Diceros bicornis minor: one gene and its partners. The protein of the gene in region 2 interacts with the protein of the main gene of each other region in a pairwise test. Links are inferred from orthologs where the notes say so. Each region holds a gene or a part of one and is shown on either strand. Other genes may lie near its edges. The genes, in order: MARK3, SFN, CCNH and FOXO4.

Evidence for each region.
Region 1: the proteins of SFN (region 2) and MARK3 interact in binary tests that used the Homo sapiens proteins (3 or more experiments, as listed by UniProt). The link is inferred for Diceros bicornis minor from reciprocal best matches to the Homo sapiens genes SFN and MARK3.
Region 3: the proteins of SFN (region 2) and CCNH interact in binary tests that used the Homo sapiens proteins (3 or more experiments, as listed by UniProt). The two-hybrid records come from large-scale screens. The link is inferred for Diceros bicornis minor from reciprocal best matches to the Homo sapiens genes SFN and CCNH.
Region 4: the proteins of SFN (region 2) and FOXO4 interact in binary tests that used the Homo sapiens proteins (3 or more experiments, as listed by UniProt). The link is inferred for Diceros bicornis minor from reciprocal best matches to the Homo sapiens genes SFN and FOXO4.

What each region holds. Positions count from the first base shown.
Region 1 is NC_080763.1:48,046,886-48,054,921, reverse strand, and holds the start of MARK3 (MAP/microtubule affinity-regulating kinase 3), read right to left. Parts: upstream 3,548-8,036; 5' UTR 2,950-3,547; coding exon 2,899-2,949; intron 1-2,898. UniProt on the Homo sapiens protein: Serine/threonine-protein kinase. Involved in the specific phosphorylation of microtubule-associated proteins for MAP2 and MAP4. Phosphorylates the microtubule-associated protein MAPT/TAU. Phosphorylates CDC25C on 'Ser-216'.
Region 2 is NC_080752.1:42,625,442-42,632,355, reverse strand, and holds SFN (14-3-3 protein sigma), read right to left. Parts: upstream 2,147-6,914; 5' UTR 2,059-2,146; coding exon 1,312-2,058; 3' UTR 811-1,311; downstream 1-810. UniProt on the Homo sapiens protein: Adapter protein implicated in the regulation of a large spectrum of both general and specialized signaling pathways. Binds to a large number of partners, usually by recognition of a phosphoserine or phosphothreonine motif.
Region 3 is NC_080740.1:14,503,152-14,511,096, forward strand, and holds the start of CCNH (cyclin-H), read right to left. Parts: upstream 3,572-7,945; 5' UTR 3,446-3,571; coding exon 3,329-3,445; intron 1,286-3,328; coding exon 1,163-1,285; intron 1-1,162. UniProt on the Homo sapiens protein: Regulates CDK7, the catalytic subunit of the CDK-activating kinase (CAK) enzymatic complex. CAK activates the cyclin-associated kinases CDK1, CDK2, CDK4 and CDK6 by threonine phosphorylation.
Region 4 is NC_080781.1:64,408,933-64,417,860, reverse strand, and holds the start of FOXO4 (forkhead box protein O4), read right to left. Parts: upstream 3,515-8,928; 5' UTR 3,031-3,514; coding exon 2,578-3,030; intron 1-2,577. UniProt on the Homo sapiens protein: Transcription factor involved in the regulation of the insulin signaling pathway. Binds to insulin-response elements (IREs) and can activate transcription of IGFBP1.

The DNA of each region.
Region 1 (8,036 bases), on a different chromosome or scaffold from region 2:
CATAAAATGATTTGAGAACAGTATATCAGACCCATCAGCTAAAGGTGGATATTCACATTTGGATATCAAACAAATGAAAACAGAGCAGTGTAGGGCCGGCCCCGTGGCTTAGCAGTTAAGTGCGCGTGCTCTGCTGCTGGCAGCCCAGGTTCGGATCCCGGCGCGCACCCACGCACCGCTTCTCCGGCCACGCTGAGGCCGCGTCCCACATACAGCAACTAGAAGGACGTGCAACTATGACATACAACTATCTACTGGGGCTTTGGGGGAAAAATAAATAAATAAAATTAAAAAAAAAAATAAAAACACCCACTATCAAATATTCATTAAAAAAAAAGAAAACAGAGCAGTGTACTAGGATGAAGCTAATATTCCTGTTGCAAATTATCTGCCTTTTATTATTCTTGATCTACAAGCAACATGCTTATCACAATTATATATCATTATTTAAAATTTAAGTAAGATTCCTAGGGTAAGCAAAATGGAAAGTCTTTTTACAACATAGAAAGACAAAGCTGTTATAGTCATAATAGCCAAAAGGTCCATCAACTGGTGAATGGATTAAAAAAACCATGGTACAACCAAACAATGAACTACTGACTACTTAGCAATAAAAAGGAATGAACTACTGATACACACACAATCATCAATAAATCTCAAAAGTATGATGCTAAGTGAAAGATGCCAGACACAAGATTATATATGATTCGTTTCCAATTATATAACATTCTAGAAAAGGTAAAACTATAGGGACAGATAACAGATCAGTGGTTGCTAGGGGAAGGGAGAGAGGATTGACTGGTAAAGGGGCCACAAGGGACCTTTTCGAGCAATGAAAATGTTCTATATCTTGACTGTGATGATGTCAAAACTCATCAAACTGTACACTTCAAGAGTCTATGTTCTATCTCAATAAACTTGACCTTAACAAAAGAGTTGCTGAACAGACTGAGAGCTCCCATTCATTCTTGTACCCTCACCACACAACTGGCAGGAAGTCTAATACCTAGTTCAGTAATGATAGGTAAATAATACGGTATATGCCAAATGTGTAACACTGACACAAGGGCATCACACTGTGAAAGACATGCAACTACTCCCAGAACATGCCAATACCAGGGTTAAAAATGGAATAGGGCATGGTGAATTAATGCAATGAAGTGCCACAAACCTCTGATTTTAACAGTCAAAAATTCCATTTTAAATACATTCCATGAGAATAAAGGCACACTCCATACCCTACGTTGTTTTTAAAGAATAAAGTTAGTAATTTCTAATGACACACAAAAAGATTACAATGTTAATTCAACAAATTCTCCAGAGAACAAGGTAAAGACCCATTGGTGTAAATCCTTTATTATTACAAATCCGCTATGACTGTTTTTAGCTTCAGTTTATTTAGGGAGTATGGAGCTCCTGCTCTGGTTCAAGATTTTGCTTCTCTGAATGAAAGTCAATGATCAAAGCTAAGCAATTCACTTTTTTGCTTGCTCTACTCTACAGGACAGTCAAAGAACAGGAAAACGACAGGTCAGAAATAGGTTCTTCAAAAAGTCTATAAGAAAATGAGTTGGCTGACTCACCTAGTCTACAATTTTCTATTACTCACTCTTTACGTAATTTTCTAGCCCATCTGAGGTAAAGGCACATACAGCACTGTACTACTTACTGACCACGTTAAAGAGCATTAAGTACTATACATCAATTTACTATAAGGATGCTTTAGACCAAGGCTTACATAAACACATTAAATCACCTAATAACTATCCAGCAAACAAGTGGCATTTTGAAGATTAAAATGAAGGTATTTGATACCACTAGCCCACAATGTCTCAGGCCGTCACTGAAAGCATGAAAACAGGCAGAGCAAGGAAGTTTTTCCTAAGTGATGGCATTTTCTTGCCAGGAATTACCTCATAACATTTATAATGAAAAGGCAGTGAAGTTTCTTTACAAGTTACTTTCTACATGTTTTACAGAAGATAACTCACAGCTAGATTGGAACAGTTCTGAACCTAGTGCTAGAGAAGAGTTAAGAAAGCACTTGGACAGTCAATATTTCTCCAATGGAATTTCTACTACATGTTTTCATTCCCTAAAAATGCTGTTCCTGGCCTTTTTGAAAGGTTTACATGAACAAAATCAAAGGTTCCTTTTAAAGAATCATAGGATGTGAGCGCTGGAAGGGACCTAAGAGCTCATCTAAGCCAACCTCTTTTCAGGAAGGAGGAAAGCTAAGCCAGAGCGTGTGTCCCTCAACTAGGCAGCGAGTGGCAGGGCAGCCTTACTACACGTCTTCCTTTCAAAAATGCTTAACTGACTCCTTCAAAATAGATTCGTACAGAACGAAGCTACTCTTCAATGAAGTTTGCGCTCTCTCAGAGAACTTCTCTTCTGAATAGCTTCGGAGTTCCGTCTAAGGGGCCGCAAAGACTCCTCAGTGGGCACTTAGTTTTAGTGACTGTCATTTTAAAGAACGAGGCATAAAGGACAGTCCACTTGACCCAATCACTTTTAATCAGCACCACGAACATGTTTTTAATCTCACAACCTCTCAAGAGCTGCCTGCCCAACTCAGAAGGAGAGTTTGGTGCAATAAGCACTAAACACTGCACAGCTCGGGCACACAACCCCACTGCGCGGCACCCCAGAGCCCCAAACACTGATAGCAACGCCGCGACCCGCAGGCTCTGTTCACAAACCAGACCCGGCGCAACCCCGCATGCACGTCCCCGGCCCGCACCGGCGGCCGGACGGCTGCCCCCTCCAAGAAACGGTCCCCCCAGGCGCCTCCGGCCTGCCCACTACCTTCAGAGTGCTCGGGGCTGGGGGACCCGACTGCAAAGGCTGCTGTCGTGCTCCGCCCGGGGAGTCCACGCGAACGCCCAGGCTACTTACGTTCTCAGTGTCTCGTTCATTCACCGTGGGCAGCGGAGTCCTAGTGGACATCTTACTTCCCTCACTTGTGCACAACGCGAGAGTGAAACAACGGCGGCCCTGGGGCCGGCACGGCGGCGTCGAGCGCCGGCGGTCCTGGAGCGCCGCCTCGGGAGGGCGGCTCCCCTCCCCCACGGCCGTCTAGATTCCGGGCCGGGCCCGGGCCGTCCCCCGGCGGGTCCCGGGGCTCATGCTCCCCCGGCCCCGGCGGCCGCGCCGAGGAGCCCCGCGGGCGGCGGTGGCGGGGCCCGGGCGGCGGCGGCAGGCTGCGGGTCGGCCCGCCGGCGTCCCCGAGCCTCAGGGCGCCCCGCGGGCCCGGACCGCCTGGCCTTCTCCTCTGCTCCCGCCCGTCGCGCCGCGGATTTCAACGCCGGGGCCTCCACAGAGCGCCGCTGGAGGCCCCTGAAGAGGAGGAGGATGTGGAGGAGGTGGAGCGCAAGACAGGCCGCCGCGGGCTGCGGGCGCCGACCATGGAGGGGGCTGCGGAGGCGGCGCCTGCGCCCGGCTACTCTTCTCCCTCTGGCTCGCTTTCAGCCTCAGCCTCCGCCCGGTAACAAGCGCCGCCGCCGCCTCTCCCGGCACCTCAGAGCCTCACAGACCCAAGATGGCCGCCCCTCGGCTTCCTCTGCTGCCTCCGGATGCCGGAAGTGACGGCACCCCGCCTCCCGGAGTTCGGCCAATCAGCGCAGCCCGAGGAAGCCGGCCCAGCTGTTGTTGCTAGGGGCGACTCGGTCCAGTCCGGGGCCAAGGGGGCGGAGCCCAGGGCCCGGAAGGGATGGCTAGTCGCCCCCGAAGGCCGGGTTGGCTGGATCCCAGCGTTCCGGGCTCGCGGACGCTTCCGAAAAAGCCGGCAAACGGCCCTGGGCGGCGGCCTGAGTCCCACTGCTGGGTTGGCATTATACAGTGTTGATCGAGCGCCTGCTCAGGTGTGCACAACCTGAGGTGGCATGCCCGAGACCGCGCTGCACCGAATCCAGCCACGGCAGCAATTATAGGGTCGGGGCTGCGGGGAGGCCGGGTTCCTGTATCATTGACAGTGACCCGGGAGTTGAGGACTCAGTCACCCTTCCTGCCTCCGGCTCTGAGCAGCCGGGGGCTGGACTCGGCATCCCGAAGGCAGCAAGCGTGTCCTGCCCTTGAGGAGCTCGCCGTTAGGAGGGAGATGGACTGGGACCCAGCTAAATGCCATCCGGAAGGAAGAGTGCTATAAGGAGGCTTGGAGGGGCGAGGCAAAGCTCTAGAAACCCCCAGGGACCAGTTCCTAAATGCCCATAGTTCATTTATAACAAGGCTCTTCTTACTTATCCAGCAGCATGTAGCTGCTGGAGGATTGGAAGCATCCCTGGGTCCTAGCCTAGGGCCAAGTTAAGTGGACGCTTGCAGCCTGGGACACTGGAAATGCTACCTTCCCTGGAAGGCTTCCTTGTCCACTCTCCTCTGCATATGTCCGATGGTCCTACCCAGAGCCTGTCCATTGGTGCAGGATTCTGAGGAAGGAGAGCAGTACGTGCTAGAGTAACGTGAACTGTTACTGAGAGTCTACTTTGTGGGTACATTACATTTGTTACCTCATTTAAGCCTCATGGTAAGATGGGCAAACACACCTTGTTATCTAGTCTAGACAGGTGACAGCAAATTGACCAAAGTACCCAAGTTGGTTAGCCACAGAGCTGGGATTTGAACCATATCCTAAAACTTCCGTAACAAATAAGGCCTTGCAGTGGGTATGTCTTGCTTTTCTTTTTCTATTTTTATTTTTTTCCCTTTTGATCCCCCAGCATATGAACCGTCTTGTTACAGCTGGGACAGTTCCTGCTCTGTGAGACATATATGTCTTTAAACACCAGAATCATTCCCAGAGAGCGCAGATACTCCCAACATAAAAACATGTGAGGACTGAGATGTTTCTATCTCACCCTCTCAGGCAAGTGTTCACTGGGCCAAGGGCAGGCCTGTTTAAAATGTTACTTTCTTTGTCCCTCTCTAGCCAAGCAGAGGTGGTTGAATTCTTATTAGTTAAATGTGTGCTTCACACAGTTCAACTGAAATGTGGGTGAGCACAAGACTGTGAGAGTCCCAGCGGGGGCATTTATCCCAACATGGAGGATTGGGTCAGGGCTTCCTGGAAGAGAGGTGTTTATGCTGAGTCTAAAAGCATAAGTAGAGTTAGCCAGGTAAGGATGGGTGGGAAGGCATTCCAAGCAGAAGGACAGCCTGTACAGGGGCACAGAGATGAGGAAGAACACGGTGGGTTTGGGTAAATGTCAAGAGAGCAAGAGGTCAGCCTGGAGGGGTAGGCAGTAGCCAGGCCAAGTTTGGACATAGCATGGCATGCGATTCTGCATCCTGATGACAGGAATGTCAACTAGGTTACCTGGGAAAACACCCAGAGGACCCACAAAAGGGTTTTAGCCTTGGGCAGGAGCTGAGAGAAAGCGTTTGGACGATTCAGAACATTCCATATTGGCCATAAGTAGCTAGGGGATGAAGTTTCTGCCTAGATGCTTCTCTCACTGAAGCAACACATTAAATAATGAGTCAGTGAGTGCCAAAAGGTAGGAAATGAGGCTGACTGGTTTTTTAATTCAAGATGCTTCTGGTTTTCAGAAAGGCTAGAATTAAAGAAACATTTTGAACTTTTCCTTGCACTTATGTCAAATGACATCATGGTACTATAAGGAGCTGGAAATGGGAGGCAAGGCATGTGTGTCACAAGCAAAAAAAGGAGGAGGAGAAGAACAAGGAGAAAAGAAGGGGAAATAAAAGCAAAGCGTTGTTCTGTCTGTAGGACCTTCTGTGGCCCAGAATTATGTACATCTATGGATCTATGGTCTGGAAGGAACAGAAGGGCAAGATGTGGAAGTCGTTCTTTGACTGCCTTCTGTCCTTTTTCATATTCCTTGTTTCCTGTCTTCATATTAAAATAGGTTCTCTCTCAGTCTCCTTAAACTGAAAAGATGTAGCTAGATATGCCATGCTGTGTATGTGCATAGATAGTTCTTACTTTCATGTCAAGAAAAAAAGGTCATCATGAGACATCAGAAGCAGAAGATAATCTAGTCCTACCTTTGCTGCTGTACGACAGAAGAGGAACTGAGCCTCAAAGAGGTGAAGTAACTTGTCTGAAGTTGCACATAATGAGCAGCAGACCAGAATGGGGCCCACATCTCCCAAGCTCCAGATCCATGTCCTTTCTCCATAGCTAGTGTAGGCACATGGTGGGGAGATCTGTTCAGTATCCCACCCCACTCCAGCATCAGAAGGAAAGAATCTTTGAGTACCTGTACTAGCCCCGAGACTGCTCTCCTCCAGACTTCTTATGCAAGAAAAATAAGCACCCATTTGTTTAAGCTATGCCAATTGGGTTGTCTGTTACTTGCAGCTCAGTGCATTCCTAACCAATACCACCATCTCAAGTGGTCAGATCTCCTGACCCCAGGGCCTGTGCTCTCTGCAACAGAGGGTGTGGGACCTGCTGGGACCCAGGAGCCATTCCTCAGTGTGTGTGTTGTAGTGCTTGTGTAATTGACAGACAACAGACAGAGGGCTGAGCACTGAGAATAAACAAAGCCACAGAGAGGAGAAGAGAAGGAACGTGATAATTGTGGGACACCTGAGGTCATCATGCCTAGAGGCAGGGGAAAAGTTGGGGCTGGGCCACGTGTGTCCCCAAGTAGGCCAAAGATGCTTGGAGGATCTGGGAAATATGAAGTCCATTCCAGACTCCACCCCCCAGGCTGCTCCCCAACGTATCAGGTATCAGAGCAGGCTGGCTGCTATTCTTTTAATTCACTACTCTGGTTCCCTTCTTCACCTCAATGGGGCCACTCTTGCCCTCCATGAGGGCCAGCAGGCAGCTTAGGAATTCTCATGTCCAACACTTTGTTCCTGCCATTCTCCTGCCTGGAACGGCTTCCTTATCTATCTGAATTCTCCCTGCTGTTATACAGCCGTGTCATCTTACTTCTTCCATGGAGCTTTCCCCCACTAGCCCCCAGTGAGCTCTCCCTCACTCCCAGCATCTTTGATTTTTACTGCCTGAGTCCATAGTGCATTTACTGAGTTCCAGCTGTGTACCTGGCACTGCACCAGCCACCTATGCTAAGACCACTAACTCTCCAACAGCCTTGTGAGGGAGATGTCAATGGTTTTTATTAAGGACTCATAGTTACCCCTTTATCAGTTCCCATGATGCACTGCATTTTGGGGAAAATGGGGATAGAAAGGGCCATTTGCCCCTGCACTCAATGGCCGCAGGCTATTGAAATGTTCTATTCTCTGATCTGCTGGAGATTATAGATGGAGATCTAGCTCTCGATGCATATGTGTATGACCTTCTGCTGGGTATCATTGCTAGATCCTGAGAGTGTAGCTCTCTGTAGCAGGCCTTCTCTTCTGCCCACTCTTCTCTGAGCTGGGAAAGCCTACTGTTTAGAACCACATCCAAAGGTTTATGGAGACAACAGAAGTGGTAGAGAAGCAGGCTCTGGAGTTTGAACCTTGGATTTGAACCCTGGCTATGACCCTGAATGCTGGGTGATCTTGGGCAAATAACTTCATGTCTTTGAGGCTCAGTTGCTTAATCAGTCAAATGGGAATAATAGTGCCTGCCACCCAGTTGCTGTGGGGATCCAAGAAGATAATGCCCATAGAGCAGCCAGCACATATGTGCAGAGTCCACCATTCTGCAGCAGAGAGGACCTGCCTTCTCGGGCAGCTGCATTTTTCAGTTCTCCCCTGGGATGAGCACTGGACTTGGAGTCTGGAGACATAGGTCAAGACTTATTAGGCCAAAAACGTCTTGGAGTTAGAGAATCACTCCACCTCTCAGGTTTCCTCATCCAACTTCACCTACCTCACTGGGTACTGAGCTCATTATGGGAGGTAACGGATGCAAAAGCCCCTGGTAAGGGGTCCCACAATACAAGGTGTTAGTGTTCATACTATTGCCTCTGTTTTGCAGACAGGGACGTGGAGCCTCAAGAAGGGCAAGAGGCTTGCTCAGCTCCCCTAGGCAGGAGGCAGTGCCCTCGGATTCCAGTCTGGTGGCTCTGACACCATGCTGGCTGCAAAGACAGGTAGGCAACAAAAGAATGGGG
Region 2 (6,914 bases):
CCGGGCAGCGCGCCGCGGCGCGCTTTGCGCCGCTCACTCCCCCATTGGCCAGTCGGACCCCGGGGGCGGTACCCTGAGCAGCTCCCTCCCGTGATTGGGCGATATCGGCCTCGGGCCCGCCTCCAGCCCGGGGCTGTGAAGGTGGGACCCAGCGCTGCGTCCGCATGCTCCGGCGTGTTGCTGCCGGGAGCGGAGGCGGCGAGCTGGGCTGGTCGGGACTGGTGTCTGCTCCCCGGGGCCCTTCCCACCCAGCTTGCGCCTCCTCCTTTCCGGCCCATTTCCTTTTGTCCCCAGCTCCGAACGCTGGGGGGGCGTTCCCCTCCTCAGATCTGGGCTTTTAATGGCGGCTTCATACCCCCGCCGCAGAGCCTACTCCCCTCCGCTCGGATCTGAGCACCTGACGGGACTATTCCCGGCTTTCAATTCTGGGGTGCTCACTGCTGCTCACTACAGCGTGTCCGTGCGGCCCTGCCCTCAGACCTCACACCTGAGACTTCATTGGTTTCCTGTCCCCTCAGATCTGAGCTCTTCAGCTTTCCGCCCAGCTCGGAGGAGACTTAGAGCCGCTTTGGGCCTCACCCGACCCTCCCGGGACCAGACCAGTCGGCTTGAGACCATCCTGATGGAGAGAGCTTGACCCCCAACCTCTCACCTGGAGTCCCTGGCCCCTGAGTCTTACCTGCGGGTCACTGAGCCAACCTCATGGGAGGTCAGGGCCCTGAATCAGAGGTCCAAAGTCAGGGTTTGTAAATCATACACCAATCCCAGTCCCAGTCCCAGTCCTCTGCCAATAACTGGAAAAGACAGGAGGAGTGTCACAGGGGAACTTTATTGAAAGGAAACATGGTCATACCCAGCAGACATGCTTTCCCTCTCATTCTCAGTCTCGCTCTCACACACAGTCACACACGCACACACCCATGTCCAGCCTCTGCCACACAGTCCAGTTCTCAGCCACAAGGGTGGGACACTCCTCAATTCCTAAGATCCAGACGCGGCAGGAGCAGGAGGGAGTCAAGAGGCGGGAAGAAGTGGCCCGGTTCACGGGTGGAGGTCTCGAGGAAGGGGGTGCAGAGAGCAGAGGTGGGTGGGATGCCCAGTGGTTAGGAGCACCCCACAGCTGCAAGAAGAGTGGGGTCCTCTGGCTCCAGGTGACCTCAGCTCTGCTGAGCCCTCTCTATGGAGCCTTTCTGAGCTGGAGCAGAGCATTTGGGGAGAAGGGTTGGGCCTCCCACCCCATACTAGTCCTCTCTGCAGGGGGGTGGGGGACTGGAGAGGGCAGGGCAGGGCCGGGAGGGTTGCAGGCTTGGCTCAGCTCTGGGGCTCCTCGGGAGCCTCGCCGCCCTCTTCCCCAGCGTTGTCGGCCGTCCACAGTGTCAGGTTGTCTCGCAGCAGCTGCATGATGAGGGTGCTGTCTTTGTAGGAGTCCTCGCTGAGGGTGTGCAGGTCAGCCATGGCCTCGTCGAAGGTGGTCTTGGCCAGTGAGATGGCCTCCTCAGGGCTGTTGGCGATCTCGTAGTGGAAGACAGAAAAGTTCAGGGCCAGGCCCAGACGGATGGGGTTGGTGGGCGGCATCTCCTTCTTGCTGATGTCCATGGCCTCCTGGTAGGCCGACCGGGCTGAGTCAATGATGCGCTTCTTGTTGTCACCGGTGGCCACCTCGGCCAGGTAGCGGTAGTAGTCGCCCTTCATTTTCAGGTAGAAGACCCGGCTTTCAGCATCACCGGCCTTCTTGATGAGGTGGGTGTCCAGCAGGCTCAGCACGGTGTCACACACGCCCCGGAGCTCGGTCTCCACCTTCTCCCGGTACTCTCGCACCTCCGGGCCCTTCTCTTCCGAGCCCTCCTCATTGCCTTTCTGCTCGATACTGGACAGGACTCTCCAGGCAGCCCTCTGGCCACCCACCACATTCTTGTAGGCCACTGAGAGCAGGTTTCGCTCTTCGCAGGATAGCTCCTCACCCTTTTCCACGGCGCTCTTCATGAAGGCTGCCATGTCCTCATAGCGTTCGGCCTGCTCTGCCAACTTGGCCTTCTGGATCAGACTGGCTCTCTGCATGGCTCTGGGGACAGACAGACAGGCGGCGGGCTAACTGGCTGCCTCGGGACCAATGCCGGACTCTGTGCCTCTCTTGCTCTCTGCCTGCCTTTTGGCTGGATGGCCTGGCCCACAGAAGGGTGGGGAGGGGCAGAGGGCGGGACTGGGGCCCAGGACCTGCCTCCCTCGCCTCTTCTCCCCACACCCTTTCCGGCTCTTCCTTAAAGGTAAAAGGGCTGGGATGTGGGGGTGAGTCATCAGGACAGTCAGCAGGAGAAATCTGGGCGTTGGCCCCACCTGCACAGGCACCTTTCCAGGCTCCAGGCTGCCCCCTCTTGTTCAGGGCTTCTATTACATGGGTGCCCACGTTAGGCAGCTGCGCCAGTTTCTCAAATCAGATCCTCCTTCACGGTGTCCTTCCAGGGGCTAAGGATGGCTTCAGCCACCTGGCTGCTTCAGCCTAGGCAGAGCCCATAAAGCCAGGTGCAGGAGGATGGGTTCCTAATCCTGCCATGTACGTTTCCCTGCTTGGTCCAGGTGAGCTAATTTATGTTTAGGCAGGGCTGTACAGTTTCCCAAGCACTTTCGTATCCATGATCTAATTTAATCCCTACTACATCCCTGTGAGGTGGGCTGGACTGTGGCTACTACCCCCACTTTAGAGATGGGAATACTAAGGCTCAGAGAGGGATGAGATTTGCTCAAGGTCATACAGCTAAAGTTCCCCTGCATCCTACTTCCTTTGGTCTCTCTCCCATCGAGGTCTCTGATTTGTGAGCTCCAGGCTGGATTTAGAAGTGAAATCCAAGCTTCTTCAGAGTCTACCTAAAATGGTTCCATCCCCCAGTCCTTACTCCCCCTCAGGGTCCTGTCCCTTCTGAGCTCCCAGACTGCGCAGGTGGCAGCTTCTGGGTGCCACTTAATGAGGAGTTTAACGAGCGGCCTCTGACGCTCCAGCCCAGCCTTTGTAATTAGTCACCCAGTAGGTTTGTTGGACACCTTCCCCATCGCAGCACAGCACAATTTTCCCTTTCAAGTTGGTGGCCTGTTGCCACTTGTTTGAGGACTTATCCTCTAGCTCTCCACGCCTGGTCACCTGCCCGCTTCAAGCTGCCTGCCATCATGTATCAGTGGGGCTCACAGAGGGTGGGGGCCCGGCTTGCTGGCTGTCCCACTTTCCTGCCTGACTCAGCCGGCCCTCTGTCAGAGGCTGAAAGCAGGCCACCTGGGTGCTCAGCCCAGTTTGGTTCCCCAGGGGGGACACGAGCAACCTGAGGAGAAAGACAGGACTGAGGAAAAGGAGGTGGCGGTGACACATACCATTTTGTTTTATGGGGCAGCAGTCCCAGCTGAGTGCTGTCTCCTACGGCCTGCCTCTCACAAGTTTCCCTGTCCCTTCCCTTTGACCATGACCCCACCTCTGACCCCTGGCAGAGGCCTCAGAGATGGAAACTTCTCTGTTGCCAACCATCTGTCCCTGATCGCTGGGGCGCTGTCCTCCTGTCAGCGGAGTTTCACCCGAAGGTGGTGGTACTGCACCTATGAGAGTGGGTTCCTGCTTATCTGCCCCACCCCTAGCCAAAGCTCAGATGGGGCTCAGGGGTGGGGCTCACCTCACTGGATCCAGCCAGCTTAATCCTGGAGCCAGGACCATTTCACAGGCCTGTCCCTCCCTGGGTTGCTCTTGGTGTCTGAACACCCACCCTCCCCTCCTGGAGGGAGGCTTAGGCCAGAACTCAGGCCCAAAGATGAGATCTGCCTCTTTGAAGGAAAAGTAGGGACATTTCTGGGCTGATGCTACAGCTTTTCCAAGGAAGCAGAAGGGATTTTAGGCTTGACACCCCAAAGGCTTTGCTCAAATCAGATCACTGTCACAGAAAATGATGGAAAGGAAGTACACTAAAATAACCAACTCACAGAGCATATTTCCACATAGTGAGACTATGATTTTTTTTTCCTTTTGATTTTCCTATTCTCTTCAAGTTATCAAGGGTGAATATGTATTATTTTTCTGAGAGACAAAATAGCCAAGTATCTTTGGAGTCAGATTGCCTGGGTTCAATTCTTACAAGTTCTTGTGGCCTTGGCCAAGTGACTTAAGCTCTGTGAGTCTCAGTTTTCTTAAGTGTAAAATAGGGCTTGTTGTGAGGATTAAATAAGTTGATGGAAAGCACTTAGAGTGGATGGGAACTATTATTATCATGTGAAAAAAATCCAACCAACTTTACTGGTTTAAACACATGCACTCAGAGCACTAACATGGAGCTGGGTAGGCCTCAGCCAAAGCCCAGACCCTGCCCAGCTGGGTTTCCACAGGGGCGAGAAGATGAATGAACAGTCAGATGCGCTCACTCAGCACTGTCTCCTCCCTGTCTCTCAGACATTCCTCTGACCTATGCAGGCCCAGGGCCCTCAAGGACCTTCCTTTGTACTAGTCACCCAGCCCAGGCTTTCCCAAGTCCTGGGAGAAAGCTGGAGATCCCAGGATACCAGAAACCTAGAGGGCAGGGTCTGGCAGGCCCAGGAATTTTGGAGTTGCTTCTGTCTCTAGGTTGCATTCTCTTCCTACCACTCAAGGCAGGAGACCTGGTGGTAGTTCACGCCACGAGCTCCATGCCCTCAGCACAGCCCTGAGCAACAGAAAAGAAGCCCCTTCCCTCCGCTCTCTCCCCTGCAGAAGCTCAGGGGTGAATCTGGGAGCCAGGCTGCCTGACACCTCCTACCAGCTCTGGCCTGTCGATCCTGACTCAGTTCCTGTCTCAGGCACCTCCCTTTGCCTCCAGGCCTCCATTTCCCAAGCCCAGGAGACCAGGCAGGCAGGAGGCAGCAGGCCCTGGCAGGGCACAGAGTTCCAGAGTCAGCTGCCTGAGTCAGCAGGACAGGAGCTGGGGCTGCAGCCCACAGGGGCTTTCCTTATCCTGCCTGCGACCTCCCTACCCTTCTCTATAACATCCATCCTACCAGGAAGCGCAAGGCCTCTGGTCCCATAGACAACCAATCTGTCGTTTTTTTTTTTTTTGAGGACGATTGGCCCTGTGCTACCATCTGTTGCCAATCTTCCTCTTTTTCTTTTTTTCTCCCCAAAGCCCCAGTACATAGTTGTATATCATAGTTGTGGAGTTGTAGCTCTTCTATACGGGACACCGCCTCAACATGGCTTGATGAGCAGTGAGTAGGTCCACGCCCAGGATCAGAACCAGCGAACCCCAGGCCACCAAAGCAGAATGCAAGAACTTAACTGCTATGCCACTGGGCCGGCCCCCAACCAATCCTTCTTGACTGGTAATAACAGGCTTAGAATGGTTGTGGCACAGAGAAGACAGCAACCAGTTGCTATCTATCTCCCCTGAGAACAGAGGACAGGGCTCTGACTGTAGCAGCAGGGACTCTGGTTAGATTCCAGAAAGAACTTCCTAGGAAATTTTTCAGTCTTGGAATGATCAAATTAAACAGGTGACTGGAGGAAGCTATGGCACCTTCTCCCCCTGGTTAGTTGTGAACAAGGGTTCAATTATCCAGCTAAGAGCTCACTCTACTAATTACCTTTGGGAGGGGATATTAGACTACTTTTAAGTGATTCAGCTATCCTGAGTCTTATTCCCCTCAAGGCACTGCTGTTTTGAGTATCCTACATCTCCTAGACCAGTCTGGTCTAGGACATATTGTGGAATTTTTGGAAAGAGAATGGAATGTCAGGCTGAGACTGCATGGCAGCTCTGTTATCAGGCCTTGGGCAGGTCCCTTCCTGCTTCTGGGCCTCAGTTTCCCATCACTACAACAAGGAGGCTAGCACAGATCTTGTCTAAGCCCCTGCTGCCTATGAAGGACATTCTCTAACCTTAGGGTTTCTCCCTCTGAGAGCCCCTCGTCCTGAAGCAGCTGTATTCATTCCTTGGGTAATGCAGAAGGGTCAGAGGCCAGGGCAGAGATCAGGTTCAAATCCTGCTGCTCTCTCGGCTGGGAGACCTGGAGCAATTCCTGCGCCCTCCTTGAGCCTCAGTTCCCTCATCTGTAAAAAGGCTGACATCACCTTCCTCACAGGTTTAGGTGAGAAAATGGGCCTGGCACTTGGCCAGACCTTGCTAAATGGCCACTATGATGATTTTTTAGCTCTTAGCACTCTGCGTATCTCCATGTGCGGTGGCAGCCGGGGAGAGGGAAGGTTTCCATGAGATTGTTACCCTGGGCTGGGCTCAGTTCAGGGGTGTGACAGTCCTAGCCTGGAGTTAAACCCTCTCTCCCAGCCTGGGCTGGGACCTGAGAGAGTTCAGAGGTCAGCTAAGGCCTGAAGGTCTCTGGAACTGAGACCAGTTCTGGAGGGGCAGAGTGAAGAGGACGCTGGCCACTCCTCCTGTGTCACCTCTGGCTTTGTCATGCATCTTTTTTTTAAATCTTCAGAACAGCACTGACCAGCTGGAACAAAGCTGGCAGTGAGGGTGAGCCAGATGTTCTTCTGCACCCTCATCACAGGCCCCACCCCTGGGCCCAAAGTAAAGGTGGCACCAGACAGCCAAGGGTATGGCAAGAAGAGGGAAATCTTTATTTTGGTTAAAAAAGGTACAGGACAGCAGACAAGCACCCCCAGTCGTGGGCTCAGTGGAGGTTCCTAGGCCCGACCCGGTTTCCTTTAGTTCCTCTGAAGAACACAGGGCTGTCAGAGCTCCCTCAGTGCTCGGAGCACAGAGTACAAGCATCCTCCTCGCGTCCTACCTACTCCGGGTGAGGGGGGAAGGGACCGTGGGAACAGCGTCAAACCAGTTGTGCTTAGAACAGTCACCAAACTTGTTCAGCAGCGTCAACAACCATCAACACCCCAGACGGCTCCTGAAGAAACCTGCTCAGCTCGACTGTGGCTATGCCTGATTCTGGGGGGGCAG
Region 3 (7,945 bases), on a different chromosome or scaffold from region 2:
TGTTGTATAGAGACAAATTCCACTAAGAAGTTCATTCAAGGATTCAGTTTCTTCATCTGAAAAGATCACTTAAACCTACTACCTCATGTTATAGTTCTTTCATCAGAAAACAACAGAACCAAATCTGGAGACAGAAACTATTCAAGTCTACCTAAAATTCTTTATGAATCTTTGATCTCTCAGATGAAGGTCTGGTAAACTAAGAAAACACTATGAATAGTTTTGGATTTGATATTTTCAATATACTTCAATTTTTTCAACTATAAAAATGGAGATTTCCTAGAGAGTTTTTCTCTGTTGGGTCGTAAGTTATTCACTCTGTATAACTTTAAAACTTAAGATAGACTTGCACTTACACAGACTTTCATATTTGATCTTCACATCAAACCTGTGAGATAATAAGGAAAAAATTTTATACTCCTTTTTCTCTCTCAGCTTTTTAATTGCATCTTATCTTCTATAAACAAGAATACACACAACAGGAACAATTACAGAGACAGTGTATGTAAACCCATAGAGCCAAAAAGTCTCACTACCTGTTTCTCCTCACCACTGTCCCACCACAGTAAACACACACACACAAACGGGGTCCTCAGAATCACGCGTGAAACTACGAGACAATTGTTTATCCAAAGATAAATTTCAGCTTCTGAAGCTTGTAGGGGAGGATCCTTTTAAACCTGTAAATCGAGGTTTAAAAATTTCTCATGGCAAAAGTTCCAGCTGGGGCCTGTGAGCTCACACGACGCATGGTGCGTTATTTCAAATACGCGTGTGGCAGAGTCGAACAAGCACTAGTCCACATTCCGCTCCCAGCTCTCTCGCTAACTAGCTGAGAACCTGGAGGGAAAGTAATTCAATTTTATTTTTTCTTTCTCTATAAAATGAAGATGTCATGACCTGCCTAGCAGACCTCAACATTCTTTTGACTATGAAATGAGACTTGAAACACTTGGTAAGATATGATATAGGAATTTATAATTTAAGGCATTTATTAAAAATATATAATGTGACAAAAACTCCAATAGATGAATTATACATTTATATAACTAAGGTGCATTTTTGAGTAAAGTGGATAGAGAAAATGATTCACAAATTCAGAAGAGGTAAGATTTCAGAAGTCAGCTAAAAGATATTATACTTCATCACTACCATAACTTACCACAACAGACCTTGGCATTGCTGGCTTAAACACCGAACAGAATTCCAGTAATCTTTTCTCATAGTATTTGCAGAGCGTCATTTCTTCATGAGGCTCAAGAAAGACTGGATCATTTGGAAGAACCTTTAGATCAAGTTAAACAAAAGATCAGTGAGTTAAATAATCTTAACATATTTTTCTCTGTCCAGATCTCCAACCAAAGGGAAATATACTACACCTCATTTTCTCTTTATAACTTTATAGGAAAATAACTTTAGGAAAATATATAATAAACCAAAACTATACCATCATTTCACAACTTCTCCGAATGTCAGCTGGACATTTGCTTCATTATGGTATAAGCAATCATGATGGAGTTTGTGCATACTGCTCACAGGTTTGATGTCATTAATCATCAATCAAAAAGTATACACATTGTCAATGGTTGGAAAGCTTTCAATATCCCTTTCTCAGTCAATCATTAAGTCACACAGGTTCAAGTAAAAATCAACAAGTGTCTCAAGGATAATTCTGACACTTAAAACATTACCTCTTATCCATCTTTGTAAACTGTCTACAGAATACACTAGATGGTTAATAAATACTACAATTTTACAACAAATAGCATTAGGTGCTGTTACTGGTTTAATTACAACTACCAAAAAAAAGGTATGTTGGAGTCCTAATCCCCAGTACCTCAGAATGTGACCTGATTTGGAATAGGGTCTCCGCAGATGTAATTAGTTAAGATGAGGTCATCCTGAGTAGAGTGTGCTCCTAATCCAACACGACTGGTATCCTTATAAGAAGGACACATGAAGATACAAAGACACAGGGAGAACATTATGTAAACATGCAGGTAGAGACCGGAATTATGCTGCCACAAGCAAAGGAACACCTGGGGTTACCAGAAGCTGGAAGAGGAAAGGCAGGATCCTCCCCTACAAGCTTCAGAGAGCTCTGCTCAGCCAACACCTTGATCTCAGACTTCTAGCCTCCAGAACTGTGAAATAATAAATTTCTGTTGTTGTAGGCTACCCAGTTTGTGGTAATTTTTTTACGGCCACGCTAGGAAACTAACACAGGTGTTCATGGCATTGTGGTTTAGAGCAGGAATGCTGCAACTAGATTCCTTGGGTTCAACTCCTGGCCCTGCCACTTACTTGCAACATAGCCTTGAGAAGTTCTTCAACCTGTCTGTACCTCAGGTTCCTCAGCTGTAAAGCGAGAATAATAACAGTATCTACCTCATGGGGTAGTTGTGAGGATTAAATGAGCTAACACTTGCTAAATGCTTAGAATAGTGCCTGGCACACAGCACAATATGTACTATTTTATGTAGAACAGAAATAAAGTGACATGAAATATACGTGACTTAAATGTAAAAGTACCTCATTACCAATAGGTCTGAGACGTGGACTACTCACCCAAGGGAACCTTGTGCTAGAAGGGGTAGTGGAGCTTGTGGGAGATTAAACCGCAGAGGTGGGAGCTATAATAGGAAGACTTGGCTGGCAAGCTGTAGTCCAAACCATTTTTAGTCAATTGGTTTGTGCCAACGCTCTCCTGTCTCCCTGCCTCCACCCTGCCCCATCCAATCCATTCACCACTAGGTCACCAGAGGGCTCTCCGAACTGAATCTGATAAGGTTAATTTCCCATTAAAAATCTTTCCAAGACTCCCATCCCTTCATCGTAACTTCCAACTCCTCACTTCCGCTGACAAGTGCCCTGCCCACCTTCTCCAGCCTTTCAGGCACAGGTACTCGGCTTCCGCCACACATGATCGTGAGCCTTCCAGGCACCCGCCCTGAAACTTCTGACCTCCCACTTTGCACCTGGGGCTCTGTCCGCCTGCAGTGTCCGTTCCCCATCTGGAAAGAGCCTTCCCCGACCTTCCCTCTTGACAATGAACGGCTCTCGTCCCGCACTACGTCAGCACCCTAAACGTCTCTTCCTCGCCCCGTGACTGGTTACTTGTCTGTCTGCCCCTCGACGACGGGGGTGGCGTTGTCCGTCTCCACCCACAGCACCTGGCGAGGGGCGCGCCTGTTGACTAAACAGAAGCCCGCACTCCGCGCCGCGGGGGCGGAGGCGGGAGGGAGACCGACGAGCGGCCGGCCCCGGGCGCGGGGCGGGCAGCAGCAGCTCTCAGGCCGGGGCAGGGGGCGGCCGCCGGAGTCCTCACCTTCCCGTTCGCCACCGCTTTGCATTTGAATTTGCGGTTGGCGTCGGCCCGCAGCCGCGCCAGCTGCTCCTCGTTGGCGAAAGTCCAGTGCCGCTTCTGGCTGCTGTTGTGGTACATGGTGAAGTCCGAGACCACGCCCCGGGCGTCCGCAGAGAAAGACCACACACGCCACAACACCGGAGAGTAAAGCACCTAAGCCTCCACCGGGCTCCCGCGGAAGCCGAGGACGTCAGGCCGGCCGGTGCGGGCGCACTGACGTCACAACCACGTGGTACTTCCGTCCGCAGTCGCGTTTCCGGAGCGGACTAGGAGGAGAACATCTCGCGCGTCTGGCTGACCGCCGCCCACGACGCAAGTGGGCGGAGCCTACGGACACGCTCCTCCTTCCTGGGAGCCTTAGCCCTAGCTCCGCCCTTTCCCCCACAAGATTTAAAGGGGAAGCGACAGTCGGGGGGCGTCGGAAAGGGACGTAAATTGAGGCTGTGTGAGGGCTACCATAAACAGTTCACACAGGGTAATCAGAAGTGGGGAAGGGATTTGAGAGAGTGTCAACTTTTCAATAGGGCGTTCAGAGCAGGCCTCACTAAGGTGACGTTTGAGCAAAGACTTGAAAGAGTTGAGGGAGTAGGCCTGTCAGCCAGGTGGGGGTGATCTTGGGGCAGATAGAACAGGCAAGGGCCTAACAAAGAAGCATGCCTGGCTCTTTTAAGAAAGAACATTCCTGGAGCACTAGGAAAAATCTCGGCCTCAGAGACAAGGGAACATGGTTGGAAAACTGGAAGCAGTGCATGAGTATTGTCCTTTGCTGTTCTGCCGATAAAGTGACCCTGTCTATTTTTCTGTGTCTTTTTCTTTCGCCTTCCGTTGATAACTAGCCAATCCTCCTCCTATTTCCATCTCTGAAGCCACGATGTATGGTAGTTTTAGGGTTTTCTTGATATTCCCACCTTCAGTATTGCCCCAAGGGAGCCTTACAATAAGTTGTCATCAATGCTTGAGAGATTTACAATGTTTTTTATTACCAGTACTTTCAAAATTGCATTCGAGATACAAAATTTACATTGATTCCAAAGGCTTTTACCAGTTTTGGTATTTGTCCCATTTAGACATCTTATTTTCCTGTGTATCACACATCAGGTTAGAAAGATGGATTTACCTACAGCAAGTAGTTTTTCTAAAAAAAAAACAGATAAAAAGCAGATAAAGATGATGATACTCCGAGTTTATGTGTTGAAAAGGTCACACAGGTAAAAAGAGGTGGTGGGATATCTCTAACTCTGCTTTCTATGAAAATGTTTTTAGGGGCTTAAGAAAGGGAGAGCTTTTTCTTTTTTGTTTCATTTTGATGGGTGCAGTTGGTAGAGTTTGCCAGAGTTATTTGAATTACTCAAACTTATATACCATTTGTAGTTTATAACTATGGAGATCCAGACACACCTTGAACATCCGTTGGTAATTTGGACTAGTAAATTGGCTAAAGAAAGAGAGATAAAGAGAAAGAGAAAAATGTGATTATGTTAAGGAGGGGCATGACAAGTTATGAGTCCCATGGATTGTGAGCACCCTAAAAGATTGTATAATGGGGAAGAATAATTTAAAAGGAAAAACAAAGGTACAAAAGATAGGCAGGAAAAGAAGTGATTTAGGTAAATGAGTGTATGTATAAAATCTTAGACCTGTGACAGTTATATATACCATTTCAATTCTTTTTATTTTGTTTTCCTGAAAGGCATTTGACAACTTCTTTTGTTTTATGTAAAGGGAAATAAAAATGGGCATTTGGGAGAGATGGCAGAATATGATTTCCACAGAGATAAGAATAAAATTGCTGAGTGTCATAGTTCATTTAGGAAGACAAATATGAAAAACCTGATGTTGCTGGTGTAACTATTTTTTTTTAAACCTTTAACAAATCTTAGTCTTTGAAAATTAACATTAACCATATTTTGGGGATGTAGAAGGAATTGTATCTAAATTAACCATCTACTGACTAAAGTTGTTGCTGATGCCCTAACATTAAGGCTCATATATGATTTCTTCTTATTAAGGTGAGCAGCCCGGATGCTGCATTAGGCAATCTGCCTGAGTGACATTCCCCTGTTCAGCCTGCTAAGCACAAGTTGATTTCTTCTGCTATTTCTACAATGGAAGGCAGACTGTGGACTTAGAACTTGGTGCCTTTGTCTATTTCCATTTCTAGTTCCAACTAAAAAGTGGCAACTGTTCTCTCCACTTTTATTTTATTTATGGAAAAGTTAAAACATAAGGAACAGAGAAAAACGTATTTCAATGATTATCAATACATGACCAATTCCCCTCCACTCCCACCCCACTCTCATTACTTTTAAATCATAATTTCCCTGCTGCTAGATGGAGATGTTTCAAACAAATAAACAAAAAACAAAACAGACAGAATCTTATTAGAAGAGTAATAGGAAAATTCAAAACTTGAAAACAAAGATATTACTATTTCATTAGGCACTACCCAGAAGTGAATGTTAACAGGAAAGATGATAGTTAGTTTTTTAAAGTAAACACAATCTCTTTTATTATGCTGCAGTTGTTAAACTGTGTTAAAGTATGCATTTATAGACAAACTCTAAATTATTATTATTTTTTTTTGCCAAGCAAGATTCACCCTGAGCTAACATCTGTTGCCAGTCTTCCACTCTTTTGTATCTGAGCCATCGCCATAGCATGGACACTGGCAGATGAGTGGTGTAGGTCCGCGCCTGGGAACTGAACCGAAGTGGAGAGCACCAAACTTAACCACTAGGCCACCGGGGCTGGCCCCTAACCTCTAAATATTTTGACTGCCAGCATTACCGTGAAACCGGTCAGAGATTGGTTTGCCGATCAGAGATGAGGTGATGCAGAGCAGATGTCATCAGTTGGTCACCGTGGAAAGGCTCTGGGCTTACCCACATGCTATGCCGGTTTACCCACATGCTATGTCGGTTTCCTATGAGAGTATTAGGAGTTCCTCTCTCTTGCTTTAAGAGAAGCTTCCCTCTTCTTCAGGCTCTGCCCTAGTGATCTTAACGATTTGGGAAAAATAAAGATCAGACTGCCTGATCTTAGGAGTAAAGGAAGAAAAGGGGAGTGAGAAGGGTGAAGGAGTGACCAATAAATATGTATGGAACTTGGAATAATTTTGTAATAATTTATTATGTGGCCTGATTAATTTATAGTTATTTCCCAAACACATCAGTATACTCATATCCACATGGTTTCTGATTTCAGGGCCACAAAGAAGAAAAGGGAGGGGGGAGAATAAATTACATCTGTGCTCACAGAAACACATAGTATCTTTCTTACTTTAAAATCTGACATGAAACTGTACCCCTTCAGCTACTGACATGGGTTTCTGACATTCAAAATATAGCTTTGCAATGATATTCAAAAGCTGTTAGGCCTTTGCAATTCTGTTTGATATGTACAATTAGCATTGGCTCTAAAATCTTTTCCTAGTTGTCAAGTTATGACTAAGAGAAGAAAAGGAGTTGCCTGCAGCAAATACCTAGTTTCTCCAAAACAGAGTTACTACTAAAGGAAAACAAATAAAAAAGAAGAAACAGCATTTACAAAATATCCTTGATCTAAATGTAACCCTCAAAAATTGGGACACTTTTTCTTTTGTCTTAGCACTATTTAAAATAAAGGTGTGAAGATGCTTGACAACATATTGAGGAGCAAATTCTATAAATCCATGTCCAATTCAGCATATTTTACTAAGTCACCACTATACTCAAGTCCTGGTACTAAGTGATAGGTGGTGGTGATGATGGTGATGGGGACATAAAAATGGCTATTTCACAGTTCCTACCGCAGGGGCCTTAGAGTGTAGTAGAATGATTATGACATGCACAAATACAGTCCCCTCTCAATGACAGTAACCTTGTGTAGGGCCCAGTAGGGTACAGAGTAATAAGATTTCTTGTCCCTGAGTGTTGATGCCTGGTACTAATGTAGACAAGACCCTGAGGTGGTTTGAAACAAATAGAACACCCAGAGTCTACTTAATTCAGCCCCAACAGCCATAGTTTAGTCCAAAGGCTTAGTGGCTCTTCTGCTAGCCAGGGGTAGGTGGTAAACCTCAAGAAAATTCCTGTGGGTTTTTTTTTTTTTTTAAATCACTGTTAATCCAAAAAACAGAATTGCCTTGGTTTTGTTACAACCATGATTGGGAGTGATCTGTTACCACCTTATCCTTTTTTAATACCAATTAATCAAGAGTGAAAACCTCTATTATATAAAGTACCACATGATCATTTCCAACACAGTTTTATAGCAGTTTAACAGGATGGAAAGATTTCACTTGTGACTCAGTAGATCTAGTGTTTCAGAGCTCAGGATCTGAAATCAGAATCCCAGCTTTACTACTTGCTACTGTGTATTCCTGGGAAAGTCATTTCAATCTATTTTATTCTGAGTTTCATCCTTTGAATAGTGAAGAAAATAGTTGTAGCTATTTCATAAGGAGGTTGTGAGGATTAAATTAGTTAATGGATGTGAAGATATAGCAGAGTGACTGGCTCCTACAAATTGTTCAGTGAATGTTAGTTATTACTTAGTTGACACATAGAATAGGCTAATTGGAGGATATAATATTTGTGT
Region 4 (8,928 bases), on a different chromosome or scaffold from region 2:
GTATTGTTTACAGTTTCATGTAATTAGTGTCAAAGTATAAGTGCCCAGGTCATGGATCATGTTGTCCAGTCGGGCAGCCCCCAGCAGTGCCCCCTCACAGTGGCAAGCTCCAAGTACATAATTAATATTTGTTGCCTGATTAGTGGATGGCCCCCGGGTGACGGTGGTGAGGCTCTCCTTGAGGCTCTGTCAGCTCTTGAGGCCTTGGGTATTAGAAGCTATGTGTCCTCCCTTCCTCCCTCACTGCTGGCTGCTGATATTCTGCTAGAGATAAGTCTTTTTTTCCAGGGGCCCAGGGAGCAGAGATTGGCAGCTTCTTGAGCCCCCAGAGCAGCTTATTTCTACTAGTTGCTCCAGGCTAGTTACACCATCCTTTTGTGTGCCCCACCCCCAACCTCCCTTCTCTTTTCTACCTCCTTTCCCCCACTTCCCCTCAGGAATTTGTGCAAAAGATCTCCAACCTTAGGGGCATTTGACCTCCCACATGGAGCTCTTCAGTGTTTAGAAACTCAGGAGGAGCCCAGAAAGGCTTGGAACAACTAGGAAGCTGAGGCTATAGACAGTCAGAAATCACTTCATGTGTTTCTAGATAAGGAGACCCTTTGCCTAGGAAAAGATGCTTAAGTAGCTTCTTGTTCCAGGGCTCTTTAGCCAAAGAACTCTTAGTCTCCCTGGGACCATGCAATAATGGCACTCCAACTACTCTGGCTGCATTAATACTCAGTTCCTTCAAAAAAAAATCACACTTGTCCATCCAACCTGGGCTCTTAGTAACCGAGGACCACAGTGACTTCTGGCACCAAGATTTCCCCCCTTTTTGTCCTCTAACTCTGGGTCTACTGAGAAGGCCCATTCCTTTCCCTACTACTAAATACACATGAGGCCCATTTGTTCATCCCCTCTTCTTTAGGCCTTGGGACTAGTACACGGTACAGCCTCCTACCTGGAGAGGTCAGCTCCCTAGAAGCCTCTAATTCTTACCTGTTGGAAGCGGGGTGACTGCTAATTGCTCCCCAAGCCACCTAAACTAAGCTTTCTTGTTCTAAGTTAGTGCCGCCCCCTGGTGGGGTGGTAGTAACCTTGGCCCATCACTAGGAAAGCCAGTTCAGGAGTGAGGCTTCCCCTCCTGGGGTGGAGTGAGGATGAGGAGTGGGGGTGAGAGCCTTGGAGACCCCAGGCTCATCCTGATTTGGCTTTGCCATCATTTCAATGAAGAGAATTTGGCAGCATGGACTAGCAGAAAGAGCATATGATTTATAGTTAGACCTGAGTTCAAGTCCTTATTGTACTGATATCAGGTGAGTTTCCTAACTTTTCTATACCAGGCTCCTAATATGTAAAATGTGGAATCTCAGAATTGCCGTGAAGATTAATAAAATAAAAAATTTAAAAACTACTTTGTAAACTAAAGAGCCCCATATAAGTGTAAATTAGAAGGAGAGACTACACTCCCACAGCAAAACTAACAACTCATGATTATTTCTCCTACCCTGGAAAATGAACCTAAGGGAAAAGAAAAACAGCTGTGTAGGCTGGGTCCAAGGAGGGGAGCTCTTTATGAGCTGCGACTGTGGCGTGGCAGTCTACCCAGAAATAGTGCCAAGGGTCTCAGTCAGCTGTCCTGTTTTCTGTTCTGCCCAACCCCTAGGATACTGCAGATCTGATCCCTTGATACCTACGGGAAGAACCTCTGCTCACTCAACCCTCTGTACTTCCTTGTATGCTGACCTCACCACCTATGAGGATACAAGATACATCCATAGGGGTTGAAGCTCTCCAGTTTCGTGAATAGAGCCCCATATTTCTCAGGACACATTTTCAGAGCATCTAGTGAGATCTTTTCTCACAGTTTCTTCATGGAAGGCCAAGGGAACTCCCAACCTTGTGCTATGAAGTCAGAGCCCTATCTCTTTTTTTCATGACTAACATTCCTCAACAGTAAAAGAAAACTTTCCTCCCAAACTTGGATAGCTCCTTACAAGGGAGAGTTTCTTGGCATTATAGGGTAAACTGAGCAGGTAGCAGTTCACAGCCTTTTTTTCTTGGTGCATAAGATCAGCTACCTTACCCCATGAAGATCACTCTTCTTCTCTTTTTCCACTCCACTCCCTCTTCTTGGGTACAACAGTACCTCTACCCTGAGGTGTTGGGAGGTAAGCGGGGAATCCAAGTAATCCCACAGGAATGGGAGAAAAGGTGTTGGGGTGGGAGGCGGGGGAGGAGGGCAAGCTAGGCTCCTGTGGGGAATCCACACAGTTCCTGCTGTACATAGGATAAAGACTTCTCTGTGGGAATAAGTGTTTGGGGCAGCCCAAGCCAAAGTGCTGGGAGTGTTGAGCAGTGAGCAGAGAATTCAATTTTCTCCAGGGCAAGGACAGTGTCTTATTCATCTGTGACACTCCAGCATCAAGCACTGAGCGTGGCATATATTATTTCCTAAGCAAATGTTGGTCTAATTGACGACTGAAGGTGAATCTCTGAGGTGAGGGTGTAAAAGGGGCCCCAGAGTAGAAGTAAGGAGGCTAGGGGGCCCAGGGGCAGATAGTATTGGGATGGAGGTAAGGGGGTCATAGTTACCTTCCATCCTGCTGAGCTGTTGCTGTCACCCTTGTCCTTGAAGTAGGGCACAGTGCGGACCATCCACTCATAGATCTGGGCGAGTGTCAGTCGCTTCTCTGGGGCACTTTCAATGGCCTGGCTGATGAGTTCTGCATATGACTGATTTCCCCAGGCATTCCGGCGGGAGCCTCCCTTCCGAGGACCTGTTACAGCCCCCAGGATCCCAGGCTGGGGGCCCCCTGCCGGCTCTGGGAGCCGGGAGGGCAACAGGATCGGCTCTGAGCGCCCCTCCGTGTGTACCTTCTCCCCCAGACCTGGCTCCACCTCGGGCGGCTCGGACGGCTCGGTAGCAAGCTCTGGTCGGGGAAGGGGCCAGGTGCAGGAGCGGGGACGGCTCTGGGGTTCGAAGTCGGGATCGAGGTCTATGATCACGGCAGCCTCTGTGGCTGAATTCTCATTCTCTGGATCCATACGTGGAGTTGGACCTCCGCCGCTCAGCGTTCAGAGGAGCCTGCCACAGTCCCTTACGATGCCTCCCCCCAGGGGGGAAGCACTAAGGGCCAGGAGGCACATTCCTGCCAGTCCTCAGAAAGTCGCGAACTTCCCCCTCGCCCCAAGACGCCAGCCCCCAAGCTGTCCCTTCCACACAGTTCTCGGATCCTCTTCTCGACTACAGCCTGCAGCCTCAAGAGCTCTTTCCGAGACACCACCTGTAACCTCCGCCTAGCGAAGACACTTTTTCTCCAACCTCTCACTCAGCTTCCTGCTCTTTTAAACCTGAGGCACGGTATCCCCTCATACATTGCGCTCCCATCACCGAACGTCTCTTGAGCCGCAGTTCCCTCTCCCTTTTAAGTTGCTGCCCCCCGGACACTCCTCCCAAATTTCCTCCACCCGGATCACTGCCCTCCCCCACGCCCCGCTCCCCCGCGTCACTTGCCCCTCCCCTGACTCCCCCGCCCTCCGCCTCTTCCCTTCCCTCCACTCTTGATAAGGTCCACGTCCCCGCAGCCCCTGGCCCTCTTATTCCCGCACCAATTCCCCTATCAACCCCCCCACCCCCCGCCCCCCGGGTTTCCCTTTTGTTTTGCTCCAAGCAGCAGCCCCCGCCTCACGTCTCTGTTTACCACTCGCCGGGGCAGCCATCTGCGCACGCGCCTGGAGAGGCAGTTGGGAAACTGAGTTCTTCAGTCGTGCCACCCGGTCAGGCCTGAGGACTACATTTCCCGTCCTACTTCGCGGCCAGGAGCCCGATAAGGGCGGCAGGAGAGCGGCGTGGCAGGATATAGGGAGGTGGAACTTTAGTTATTAGAGATCTTCGCGGACTCTTTTTCTTTTTTTAAAAATCATTTTCCTCCTTTCCCCGCTTCCCACCTCCTCTCTTGTGATTCAGGGTCGCCTAGGTGACTGTGTTGAGAGATGCTAGACCTTTCCCTCTTTCAGTTAAAAGAGGGCAAAAGGAAAAAAAATGTGGTATCTACAAGAAACAAAACTGAGAACCAAAGAACTGATTAGAAAAGAGGCTGTATGCATGTTGGGGAGTTGAGTGCTTGTGTAACATAAACAAATGGTTAGCTGATGGTAGCATCTCCCTCAGCCCCTTCAACCTCCCATACGCAGTTCACACTGACAGTGCAGTCGCAGACCAGTTTTCTCCACTGGGTCTTCTGGCCTCCCCTTAAATGTTGATATTCTCTGGGTTCCCGTCTTAGGCAGCTTCACTTCTCATTCAACAGGTCCCAAACTGAACTCGTTTATCTATTCCTGCACCCACACCCCTATCCTCTGGCTACCCTTATCTCTGAATTTGGTTAATGGTTGTCCTGATCTACCCAATCTTCCAAGCTAAACTTACCCTTCACCTTTTCATCTCCCTAACTTCCCACATCCGAATCCCAGTTCAAGACCTTATTTATCACTGGATTAAGTTGCAATATCATCTTTTTTTAAAATAATTTTATTTATTTTTTTTTCCCCCAAAGCCCCAGTAGATAGTTGTATGCCATAGCTGCACATCCTTCCAGTCGCTGTACGTGGGACACAGCCTCAGCATGGCCAGACAAGCGGCGCGTCGGTGCACCTGGGATCCGAACCCGGGCTACCAGCAGCGGAGCGCGTGCACTTAACTACTAAGCCACGGGGCCATCCCTGCAATATCATCTTAATCGGACCTCCTGCCATCAATCTTTTCCCCACTGCAGTTTATGTTCTATGCTGCCAACAAAGTTACCTTTCTAAGAAACTCTGCTCATAACAATAACTAACTAAAATTTATGGAGCACTTATTATGGGCCAGGCACTGTGCTGATTGTTTTGCATACATTAGCTCCTCTACTTCTCAAATCAACCCTGCGAGGTAGGTGCCACTATTATCCCCATTTTATAGATGATGACACTAATGCTCAGAGATTTAGTGACTTGCCCAAAGTCACACAGCTAGGAGGCAGGAGAACTGGGATCATATCACTTATATGTGATCATATAATTTCCCTGCTTAAAACTGCCTTTGATTTTCCCCATTGCCTATGTGATAAAGTTCAAACTCCCTAGCAAGGCATACAGGTCTCCTCAGATTCAGACCACTTCCCACCTTTCCTGCTTCATCTTTCACTGGGCGCACTAAGTTCCAATGAGTCAGAGTTTCACACTATTTCCTGGAAATACCATACCCTTTTATGCCTTTGCCTGCACATCCTGGGATGTCCTCCCTCTCGTCATCCCCTCCCCAAGTCTCTTATTCTGGAACACTCCTATTTAACCATTCCTGTCTCCCTCAGGTGCAGTTAGTTCTCCCTTTTCTGCATTCCCAACCACTTTGTGCAGGCTTATGTTCTATAGCACAGACCATGTTGTATTGTCATTATTTGTTTACATGTATGTCTCTTCTACTAAACTGTGAACTCCTTGAGGGCAGAGACAAGTTTTGTGTATCTCTGTGACCCCAGCTTGGAGTCACAGAGGAGACATTCAATAAATGTTGGTCGAATGAATGGGATCAGGAATCAAATGACATTGCACTTGTACATTCGACAACTTTTTAATAAATGTATCATATGTATTTTCTGCCTGGCCATGTCCCAATTTTCCCTTTAGACAGCAAGCTCCTAGGGGTAGGGACTGTAATTTAACTTGTCTGTACAGTGCCTAGCATTATACCATTTGCAGTGTTGCTTGATACGTGCTCTGTGATGACCAGACCTTCTCCCTGTCAGGAAGGATATCCATACAACCTGGGATTTTTCAAAGGCAGCAGCACATTGGGCCTCCAAAATGATGTTAGTCTGCTTACGGTAACAGAACAAACTTGGTTCTACATATTCCTGCCTCCCTCTACTCCAACATACATTTGTCCTCCATCTGTCATGTAGAGAGTAAACAAAAGACCGTGTATTCCTACCTGAGGTCCAGACTCGAGAGATGGGACATAGTTGCTCACAATGCCTGGCAAACATTTCCTGCATATGCCTCTTCCTCCTGCAGCACAGCCTGGAGTACTTGGTAGGTGCCACAAGAGTGGGGAATTTGGTAGAAGAGAGAGCCTGGTGGGCACTAGGTCACAAGGAGCTCTCTTCTAACTGAAACAGATGTGGTGGCAGATCATGCAGAGCTGCTGAGGCAGGGAAATGGCAGGGTGGGGCAGGCACCTGTCCTGGATTCAGTTATATCTTGCATTGTCTCTCTTTGTGCATTTGTTTGAAAAGGGCCACTTTTCCACCAACTCATGTCCATCGCCTCTTTAAATTTCCAATTCAAAGCTCAAAACTTACGTACTCTTGGAAACTTTCCCCAACTAGCCCAACCTGACAGATCACTTACCTACTTTGCATCTCCTGTACCTCTATGAACTCAGTTTGTATTCTTTAATTTTGTGCTTGTGGTTACATGGCTTTTCATTTCAGGAGGGCATGTTGTCTCCCCCTTATTACTGTGGGAGTGTTAGAATATACATTAGTCAAGAGACAGAGTTAGCAATGTGGCCTTGGAAAATAGAAGAGACACTGGTCAGGAAAGAAGACTAACAGGAGACCCCCAGAAAGCCACTGTAGTCATAAATTATGAACAGATATGGCAGGATATGGGGGGGTGGGGCACAGGCCTTTTTCCCAGTTGCAACCTCTGAGTTTGTGGTCTCAACTAGCTCCCCATTCAACACTTGTTTTTTTCCTCTCGAAGGTCATAGGGGTTTGGCTCTCTTGCCTCTTTCATTGCCACTGCCCACTCTTCTACCTGGGTGCCACCCCCCAAGCCTGCTGCCAAACCGGCTTTATTAATTTGAATTGAGATAGACATTTCCCCGCTTCTTTCTTACCCTGCCCAGCTCTGAAAAACACACAACCTCCACCTGGGGTTTGTATAGGATTTTTGCTAGTGACTACAGGGAAAGATGCAGGAGTTAACAAAAATAACAATGAGAAAGTTCAAGGAATCTCAGAAAGCACCACCTCTGCTTGTCCTTGGTCTTCACAGATGGGTATGGAATGTACATGTTTTTGGTAGCCCTCTTCCATAAGTCCTGCCTTATGTGTTTCTGTGAAAGATTTCTAGTCCTTCTCTTAGAAGCCTGTACCACTCTCCCAACCCTGCTGTTGTTTTAAAAAATCTTTTAAGTTAATAAACATTTTGTAAGAGCCTACTATTTTCCAAACACCAGGCTAGATGCTTTTACATAAAATGCACCTCAGACTAAAGTCCTCAGGTTTAGCCCCAAGAGGATTTGAGTTAGCACCACTACTGAGTTGGAGGCAACTATCATTCCTTTCTGGACCCTAAAAGTCAGTCTGATGTAGTGAAAAGCACTAGGTTGAGTCAGGAGAGCTGAGTCCTTGTCATAGCTCTGTCACTAAATAATTGAATAATGACAATAATTACACTACTATTAATAAGTAACATTTATGGGTTTTCATATGTGTTAGGCACTGTGCTAAGAGTTTTACATGGATTATCCGATTTAATCCACACAGTAAGCATGTAAGTTAAATGCTATTACTATTTTCATTTCACAGAAGAAAATGAGACCTAGAGAGGGTAAAGGAACCTACTTAAGGTCTGGAGTTGCTAAGTGGTAGAGCAGAGGTATAAATCCAGGCAGTCTTGACTCCAGAGCCTACACAAGTCAATTCACCTCTTCCGGCTTTGCAAAATGAGAATGTTGTATTGGATAACCTCTAAAATCCTATTTCCTATGATCTTCAACCAGACCCCAGATTGCCCTTTTGGCCGTAGGCTACCCTGAGCTTTCACTTCACACCCACACAAATTCGGTCCTGGCTCCCTGCAGGAACAAGGTCAAAAAGCTGCATCTCTCAGGTTTGGGGCTCGCCTGAACTGACCTTTGAGCCTCCTCTTTAACTCTTCCTGCAGGCCTCTATGGTTCCAACCTTTGAAAGTCCTACTGGCATGATATTTACTAGAATTATTAACCAAAGAGTTTCCAATACAAGAAAACGTGCTTATATTTTAAAGTTACGTGAAAAGAGCAGGATGCAATACTTTATGTGCCGTATGCTCATAATTTTATTTAAAACACATTGAGAAAAGATAGGAAATGCCAAAAAGTGTTAACAATTGTTATCTTTTTTCTTTTTACTTTCTTATATTTTTCCAATTTACTATGAATGTGTATAACTTTTAAACTGGGAAATATGCTTTATATTTTGCCTCTTTCTATAAGGGATTTGAGGCACTTTACCATAATAAGAGTACAAATGTCCTAAGATTATAGGAATAGAACATCAGGGGCCGGCCTGGTGGCATAGTGGTTAAGTTCCTGTGGTCCGCTTCGGCAGCCCAGGGTTTGCAGGTTCGAATCCCAGATGTGGACCTATGCACTGCTCATCAAGCCGTGCTGTGGTGGCGTCCCACATACAAAATAGAGGAAGATGGGCACAGATGTCAGCTCAGGGCCAATCTTCCTCACCAAAAAAAAAAGAAAGAAAGAAAAAAGAAAAGAAGAAGAACATCAGAGGCATGGAAAGGAAGAGGGAGCTAATGTGCGATGGCTGAACCTTAAATTCACCTTTTGGGGCAGCCAGGGAAAAGGGAGAACAGAGTAAAATACACAATTATTGTTATCAGAAGGAAAGACACATAGCCGTTCCTCGAGAGAGAGAGATTTTCCTGTCACTAAATTCTTTTCTCCCCCAACTGAAAAGACAGGGCTACAGCAAACAAAAATTTTTGATAAAACAAAACGTTTATAGTCCCCTTGCCCTCATACAATTTTCATCTTTGCCTATCAGCTTTCAGTCCTTGTCCACAGACACAAATAATTTTACATGGCTGCAATTAGAGTCTATATACCATTTTGTGTTCTGTTTTTCTTTTCGGTGAACATATTGTAAACGCGTTTCATATTTAGTCTTCCAGAAT